Linked DNA regions of Daphnia pulex. The protein of the gene in region 1 binds, or shares a complex with, the protein of each later gene. Links are inferred from orthologs where the notes say so. Each region holds a gene or a part of one and is shown on either strand. Other genes may lie near its edges.

Region 1 (4,408 bases):
TGCCGGTCCTGTACCGACGGTATATGTACATCGTCCTTTTTTTCTTTCAGAATGACATATTCGTTTGGAATGAATAAGCATCATCACATTAGCTCAATCATGGAAAAGGAAGCTGCTGTGCTCATCAGATTTCCTCAAGGCGATAAGTCTACACACGAGTTTTCCCGCGAGCATAGAATAAACCGTTTAATATTAATTGTTTACGTCAAACTCACGCGGGAACATTGAAAAATGTCGCAAAACTGCTGGACATGAATTTAGATTTTGTATTGAAAATGAATAGCGTCAAATTAAATTTGTTTGACTTTTATTACACCATTATTGGTCAGCTTAAATTTACTGCTGTGTAATCATGGTGATGGGTTGGTGCCATCATTCAAGAGTAATTGTTCCGGTTTGAGTCGCATGACCGTGACGAAGGTACGCACCAAATTTGATTACCCTAAAAAGGCAATCCCACAGACCACTGATCTTTTAGAACCGCCGACAAAACCTGTTATTAGCGACCCTGTACCTTTGAAAAATTGTGAGTCGCAATTTGTGACGAATGATTAAGTCGTCACAAAAAATGACGTTCAAACGGACACAAAGCCAGCGAGGTGAGTTTTCCACAGGCAGATGACTAATATTTCTATTTTGTTCGCCATAGAAATCAAACCGAATAAAAAAAGGTACATTAATAACGCTGCTAGACAGGAGTGCTGCATGTTAAGTAGAAGAAGAATTGAGCTAAACAGCACACGCAGGAGTGCAACAAATATTTAAAATATGTACGCACCTGACTGGACATTTCTAGGTTTAAAATGCTAAGTTTGTTCATCAGTGCGTGGTGATTTTTCTTGTTAGAAAAATGAATAAGGAAATTCGCCGTAAATAATTCCTTTATCCCGCTCTTTATATAGCGTACAGTTACCTTGACTTTGAATGTAGGGTTCACTGCGGTCGCTGTATAGAGACATTTCTTGCCTGTATAAATAAACAACAGATTTCAAAAGGATGCGAGGTAAAACCCGTATTAAAGGACCAAAGATCTATCGGGAAGGAAGAAAAAAGTGCGTCGTTCATTATTTGCGTGCGACAGGGAGAAACGGAGCTAAACAAATTTGACGACAATGGCCGGCAACAACTTATTAAGTTTCAAGATCATTTAGCCAAAAGGATATTTAAATTTCCTGGTCTTGGAAGGGGACGTTTATTTTCTTTGAACATTATTGGGCGACTATCCATTAAACCACAAACGAATGCTCTCGTTGCGTAGCCTGAGGGACGAATGACATTTGCAACAGAAAACAATTAATTGGCAAAAGTTAAAATAGCCTAGTAAAGTAGTAATCCTTTTTTAAACTTAACGAATTCAGAAATATTTGTTTGAATCATAGTGCAAATAATCGCCACAGGTGGCGTAAAGCTTGTTCTTTCTTTAAAGCAAATAATGAGAAAAACTTTTTTTCTATCTGGTTAACATTTTAAAAAATTTTTAATCATTAAATTATCGCTCTTTTTCATATTCTTATTCATTATTTATCACAAAAGAAGTGTGTTTCGAAATTGGCAACGTTCTCTGATCACGTGCTCCAGAGTCCTTTCTCCTCCTCCTTTTTCTCCATCTTGGCCATTTTCGAGGACGTGACCGGTCTCAATCTCGAAATTTTCGTTTACAAATCGGCTCGAAAATGTACAGATGCCGGCAATTGGTTTCTCAATGCTCAACCACCATTAAGTCAAATCTTGGTCATGGCAGACAACGATTTGTCGGTAAGATATAATTTCATTCATTTATGTGTAGTTTATATGAATTGCCAGTTTCAAGAAACTATAGCAACGTGTCTGTAAGTTTAGGAACTGATACGATGTGTATTAATTAGGCGAAAGTACAACTAAGAGATTCGGCTCAGATCATGGCTACAACCCGCCAGCAATTAAACCGGCCACGTTGAACGAAATGCCTACACCTAAGGGTTCTTGGGCTTCAGAACATTCCCGAGTACAAGCAAAGTACAACATGCACTTGGCTGCAGGTTTGGGTTTCACGGCTTTCACAGTTTTTGTGGTAAATTAAATATTTATGTAAAATGTTACAGCATCGCTAACAGCATTTTCTACACACACAGGGATACCAAACAGGTTCATTCTACCTTAACCTTGGCCCCGAATTGAATACCAAAGTCAATGTATTGAGTCACGAACAGGTTCGCAAGCAGGCAGCAGAAGCTGCAGCAGCCGCTGCTACAATTGTAGAAGAGCCTATTTCTGAACCAGAAGTTGTTGCTTCAGTGGAAATTGTTGAAGAGGTTGTTCCAGTTGCAGTTGTGGAAGAAGCTGCTCCAGTTGCAGTTGTGGAAGAAGCTGCTCCAGTTGCAATTGTAGAAGAGGTTGTTCCAGTTGCAGTTGTAGAAGAGGCTGTCCCTGTGGCTGAAGTTGCTTCCGTCATCGTTGAAGAAGTTGCTCCAGCATCTGTACCTGAAAGTGTAGAAGCTGTCCCAGCTCCTAGTGGAAATGAATCAGGGCCCTCTGATCAATCAGAAGGTGAAGTTCAATCTGATCCTACAGTGAGTGTTGCCTTGACTGTAGAAGTTGTTGCTGAAACTGTTTCTGATGGTTCTTCATCAGTCACAGAATCACAATCATAAGTTAGTTATTAATTTAGACTCATTCGCTAGAATAGATGAATTGTATCAAAACTGCCACATCTATTCAGTCCATTAACAAAATAGTCTTATTTTGGAATATCGCCAATTTTAGCCCAGTGCCCAAAAATTTATTTTAACCTTCAGAGTTTATTGTTTGTAATTTGCCGCAACACTGGCTAAATTTCGATTCAAAGTGTAGGTTGTGAAATATTTGATGAAATGAATGGTTGGTGGAAGACTTATTGTACGTTGGCCGATTAGAAGCAATACAATTTCGAGGGAAGCTGAGTGTTTGATCAAGAAATCCCTTCTTTTAGCTGTAGAAAAATTTTCTTAATGTAGAAAAGTTCTTAATTTTATTTTTTTCCTTTTTTTTTAACAGTAGTTCCAGCTGCAGCAGCAGCCGTTGCAGTCGCCGGTGATTTTCCCGTGCACGTTCCTTATCTATTGATTGGAGCTGGTACTTCATCGTTTGCCGCTTTCCGTGCCATCAAATCACGTGACCCGAAAGCAAAGGTAAAAAAAATTTTTATTGGTTTTGTTTACATGCATAGTAAAAATATTTGTGTTGTACCCATTACAGGTTTTAGTCATCGGTGAAGAAAATCACTTGCCCTACATGAGACCACCTCTGTCGAAAGAATTGTGGTTCAGTGAAGACCCCGAAGTTTCAAATAAACTTCGATTTAAACAGTGGAACGGCAAAGAGCGAAGGTGAGCCCAATGTTAATTACAACTATGTGGAACATGTACTAATGACTTATTTTCCTTCCCAGTCTCTTTTTCGAACAAGACGAATTCTATTGCAATCCCGTCGAATTGAACAGCAAAGATAATGGCGGCGTTGCAGTTGTACGTGGACACCGCGTCGTTAAACTTGACATTGTTGGTCGGAAAGCCGAACTTGACGATGGTCGTACCATCACATACGACAAGTGCCTTATTGCCACAGGTAAACATTTTATGCTAAACGAAATTCGTCTTTAAAAGTCTCAATGATTACACCCTTATGGAATGTTGAACAATTTTGATAATTATCCTGCTAGATAGTATCTGAGAGCCTTTTTAAATTTCAGCAATTTATTTGTGTTTTTACGAATCACTCTAAAAATGGCCGTTGTTTTATTGCTAGGTGGTAAACCGAAATCTTTGCCATCCCTGAGCAGTGCCCCTAAAGATGTCCAGGAACACTTAACCTTGTTCCGCAACATCGATGACTTCCAGCGACTCGACTCCATCTCCCGCCAGGTCAAGTCCATCACCATTATCGGTGGTGGATTCCTTGGCAGTGAACTTGCCTGTGCTCTTGGCAGAAGAGGTAAATAATTGAACCATTCATAAAATCATTTTAGTCACTGTGATTATAAATTATGGAATGTTGAACGACTATGATTGTCTTCCTGCTAGATAGTATCTGAGTATTAACCTTGTTTTGAATCCATTCAAGTTGTTGGCAAATTGCATAATGGAAACATATCTTTCATTTAGCCAAAAGTAATGGATTGGAGGTGCTTCAAGTTTTCCCTGAGGACGGTAACATGGGCCGAGTCCTCCCTAAATATTTGAGCCAATGGACAACCGAGAAGGTGAAAGCGGAAGGTGTTCAGGTTATGCCCAAAGCTATTGTTGAGGGTGCAAGCTTGGAAGACAACAAGGTCGTATTGACCTTAAACGATGGTCAAAAGGTAAACATTTATTTTAATACATGTCTTAGCGATGTCAACTAAAATCTAACAATTATTTCATCAGATTAAAACTGACCATGTTGTCGTTGCTGT
Region 2 (3,547 bases), about 2.9 Mb from region 1:
GCGATGTTTACCGATTCTCTCGCGACGCTGATGACTGGACCTAATTCCATTCTACACCGAACCCTTGTGGTAACTGAAACCTAAAATGGCGTATAATTTGAATAAAAACTTAAATCTGTTGTTACCTAAAAAAAATCTAGATCAAAGAGAAGGAGGATGATTTGGGACAAAATCGTGATACAGAGAGTCTAGCCAATGGCAATACTGGCCGTCGTTTGGCTTGTTGCATCATTCGAGCTGTTTGAGGAAGATTACTGAATTAAGGTGAATTACAAATTATTTCTACCTAATGGGAAACGGAGAAATTTGAGTTCACATTCGCTACTTAATTAGTGGCCTTTAATGCTTCTTCACGCCATTGCTGATCGGCATCTTGTCTCCTTCACAGCACCTTTAGGGTCGAAATATTTCTAAAAATTTTGAGTTTAAATACAAAGTTAAATGTTTAAGCGCATTTGTTCTCAAACCGAGTTTTAATTTTTTTTTTGCAACAGAGAAGCGTTTTTTCTATCCTTCTACCCAAGGAACTCTGTAGACGACGAAGAAATGACTATGTATAGAATGCTATTACATGAGATGCAGCAAATTAAAACACAATTTGTAGCTCTAAATTCCTATAATGGACATCATGTTTTTGCTTGAGCTTCAGATTTTGAATCTTCTTTTGAGGGTTCTTTGCTCTCTTCTTTGGGCACTTCGTTTTCTTCGTCCTCCTCTCCTGATGGCTTATCATCGTTCCCATATAATGTAGGATAATTGGACATGCATTCTTGCATCGCCTTAAAGGATTCAAAGCAGTCACTGCCCTTGGGTTCAGCATCGCTATAAAAACGAAATACATCATTTAGTAGGCAAATAAAAAAGCAAACTGAAAATGTGTTATCACCTATAATGGAAGCAACTGAATGCTTCTCGGAAATCAACTCCACACGGACCAGTGGCCATTCCTCCTAAACACGGGCAGTCCCAGTTAATATCACCATTTGGCAGCATAAGACCTGCTGGCTCATCTTCATCGGGGAAGGTGAGTGTGCTAGGTTTCTGCAAATCCTCGGGAGTTAGAAAGACAATTTTGTCTTTTCCTGCAGAATAATTAAAAAAATGTTTAATGCTAATGACATTTAAGGTATAAGTGAAAAACCACAAGTTCATGACAGAGAGAGACTATCAAAGTACAGCAAATCAGACACCAGGGACTGTAGTGCAGAAAATTTTATGCCAGATATAGAAGGAGTGGATAATGCCTCAGCCACTACTTCAACACAGTAGAAATTGGGGCTCAAATGAGAGCTGCTACATTTAAGCTGTGTTTACTTGGAGAAAGTGTCAGATGATTTTTAAGCTTTACAAAAAATGTTGGTTTCATTGATGGAGATTACATAACAATTTTTCACCGTTTGAAACATTGTCTAGTGTGCATATTTTTAGTGAGAAATCCAATAAAGATCAGCAAACAAACAAGCATTTTTCAAAGGAAGCATTCTTAAATTCAATGAGATTCAGGCTTGTTCAAAATATGTATAGTTCATAGTTTTTAAGCTGAGAACAGTTAGGATTGGATCGAAGTGGGGCACTGATTTAATCAATCTGAGTTTTGATTCTCCAGTTTCTTTGCTTAATAAGTACAATTTCCAAAACTCTATCAAGATTTTAAAAAATCTAATCAACAAGAACTTTTGTATCTATACATCTACTTACAAATGTCGTTACTTTAGTGAATGGTGCGATTAGTCATTCGGTTATCTGAATTACCAGAGAGAATAAATAACAAACTTTGTAACTTACCTTCTTCTTTGCAGTAAGACATTTTTCGTTTATGGCACAAATTTAATATTCGCAATGAATATTCAAGAAAATTAAAGGAAAAAACCGGAATACCGGCGAAAACTATGATATTCTCACGTGCAGAGCTGACGGCTAAAAGCGTTAAAAGTATTTTCGTCTGAAGTCACGCGATTTGAACGCCACCTGTGGACCAGAGGCTCAACTCGTATATAAACCATGTGACATTTTGCGTCGTCATTTTCCGACGGAGCCGGTTGAATACTTGAATGAAGGTGCAGCACTGAAATGCTTATCTTGATGTTTCTTGAATGATGCAATCCAATTTATTGTGGAACGGTACAACAATTGGGAACTTTTGGACTAGACGACCGAGCTTAATTGTTTGGAACAGGAATTCTTGGGAAAAATGAGGAGAAATTTAGGAGAAAATCTCAGGGTCTAACTGTGTCAGCTAAATGATTTGTGCTAGAATGAACTGAATTTTGTTTTGTCTTTCTAGCTTTTTCGCATGTACCTTCAAAAGTCGCCAACGCATAACGCATTGAAATTGTTTATTCCGTTAAGCTTAAGCCAGCTGTCATCTGTAAGGCGTCTCTAGTCGTCTGAATTGAAGCCGTTATATTTATAACACGCAATTGATGATCTCAAACTCGACGTTAATTTTCTGTTACAACAGTATGATGCAAACGCTCTAATCTTAACAGGAAAGGAATTTTGGTTTGCCTACAATCTCTTCAACGATAGTTTCATATTTGGAGCAGGATATGGTAAAAACAAAAGGTATCTATAGATGTCAAAATGTGTTGCGTTTATAAGGACACGTGTAGGCTTGTTGATAGAAGGGAGTGTAGAAAAAGCGGTCGGGTGGGGTTTATCCCTAAAGGTGGGAGTGGGACTTCCCATCCTCTTTTTCAGCGACAAATTCATGACCATATAAGGCAACGGAAAAGCAAGAACGAACGAACGGGGCAACGTAAATTCCAAGCAGAATTCACAAATACCAGACTTCGGCCCTAGGTTAACCCAAATGATGCGATCGTATCGATCGCCGTGGTTGTACGCCAGCGCCCCTAGTGTCGGCTACAGCAACCCAATGTTTAATTAGCTTTAGGTGACTGTTGACTATGAAATCAGCCTCAAATTATCTATTAATTCATTCAAAGCGATCTAGCTTGAATAGTTACCATATAAAATATCAAGTTGACTGTTATTTTAAAAATTTGCGATTTCATGTTAGGTGGCGCTTTTAGATCGAAAGTTGGGGTGGCGTCAGTTGCAGCGTTTCGGCCTTAATTTCTCGAAGCTCCCCACGCCGTAGCGACAACGTTGCAAGATCTAAAAAGGAGAAGGAAGAGGAAGGGACAGAGAAGGGCATAAAGGGAAGGCAAGCGTCTCATCGCCACGTTATTGCTTGCGGTGCCGGCTTTGGTGTAACTTTGCTTTCTCCGGTAAAGGCCGAATTTTATTTCTTTACATTTTTTAAACATTGCTCGTTTTTAGTTTAATTTAATCGATAGAAAACGTGTGCCATTGCATCTAGTTTGTCTTTTTGTGTTCGTAGAAGCGTGTCATAGTCGTTGTTGCGTCAAAATTCAAATTGTTTCTCCCCACTTTGTAACCGGCGTCTCTGTGAGTAATACGCAGCCATACGCGAATCAATAGGGGTCCACACCCCTCGAGGAAAACGGAAAAATCCGTTGGGGGAATCGCCATTTTCTCCCATTGCCCTTGTGTGAGACCGGTGTTTCCTCTGTCGAAATTG

The links.
Region 2: the proteins of apoptosis-inducing factor 1, mitochondrial-like (region 1) and mitochondrial intermembrane space import and assembly protein 40-B-like are in contact, whole or in part, in a cryo-EM structure (PDB 9GQZ), measured with the Homo sapiens proteins. The link is inferred for Daphnia pulex from reciprocal best matches to the Homo sapiens genes AIFM1 and CHCHD4. Residues at the interface, in NP_004199.1 of Homo sapiens: Pro345, Tyr347, Ser500, Ser501, Leu502, Pro503, Thr504, Val505, Gly506, Val507, Phe508, Ala509, Lys510, Glu558, Asp559, Tyr560, Asn602, Ala605, Lys606, Phe608, Asn609, Ile610, His611; in NP_001091972.1 of Homo sapiens: Arg5, Glu7, Lys9, Asp10, Arg11, Ile12, Ile13, Phe14, Val15, Thr16, Lys17, His20, Thr22, Pro23.

The regions. Positions count from the first base shown.
Region 1 is NC_060023.1:11,493,230-11,497,637, forward strand, and holds the start of apoptosis-inducing factor 1, mitochondrial-like, read left to right. Parts: upstream 1-1,561; 5' UTR 1,562-1,673; coding exon 1,674-1,755; intron 1,756-1,839; exon of another isoform or gene 1,840-1,865; coding exon 1,866-2,050; intron 2,051-2,111; coding exon 2,112-2,526; intron 2,527-3,012; coding exon 3,013-3,146; intron 3,147-3,213; coding exon 3,214-3,344; intron 3,345-3,406; coding exon 3,407-3,582; intron 3,583-3,762; coding exon 3,763-3,948; intron 3,949-4,118; coding exon 4,119-4,315; intron 4,316-4,379; coding exon 4,380-4,408. UniProt on the Homo sapiens protein: Functions both as NADH oxidoreductase and as regulator of apoptosis.
Region 2 is NC_060023.1:8,613,580-8,617,126, forward strand, and holds mitochondrial intermembrane space import and assembly protein 40-B-like, read right to left. Parts: upstream 1,970-3,547; 5' UTR 1,808-1,969; coding exon 1,786-1,807; intron 1,083-1,785; coding exon 887-1,082; intron 823-886; coding exon 627-822; 3' UTR 542-626; downstream 1-541. Other genes in the region: uncharacterized protein LOC124197866, read left to right, coding at 1-69, 141-245.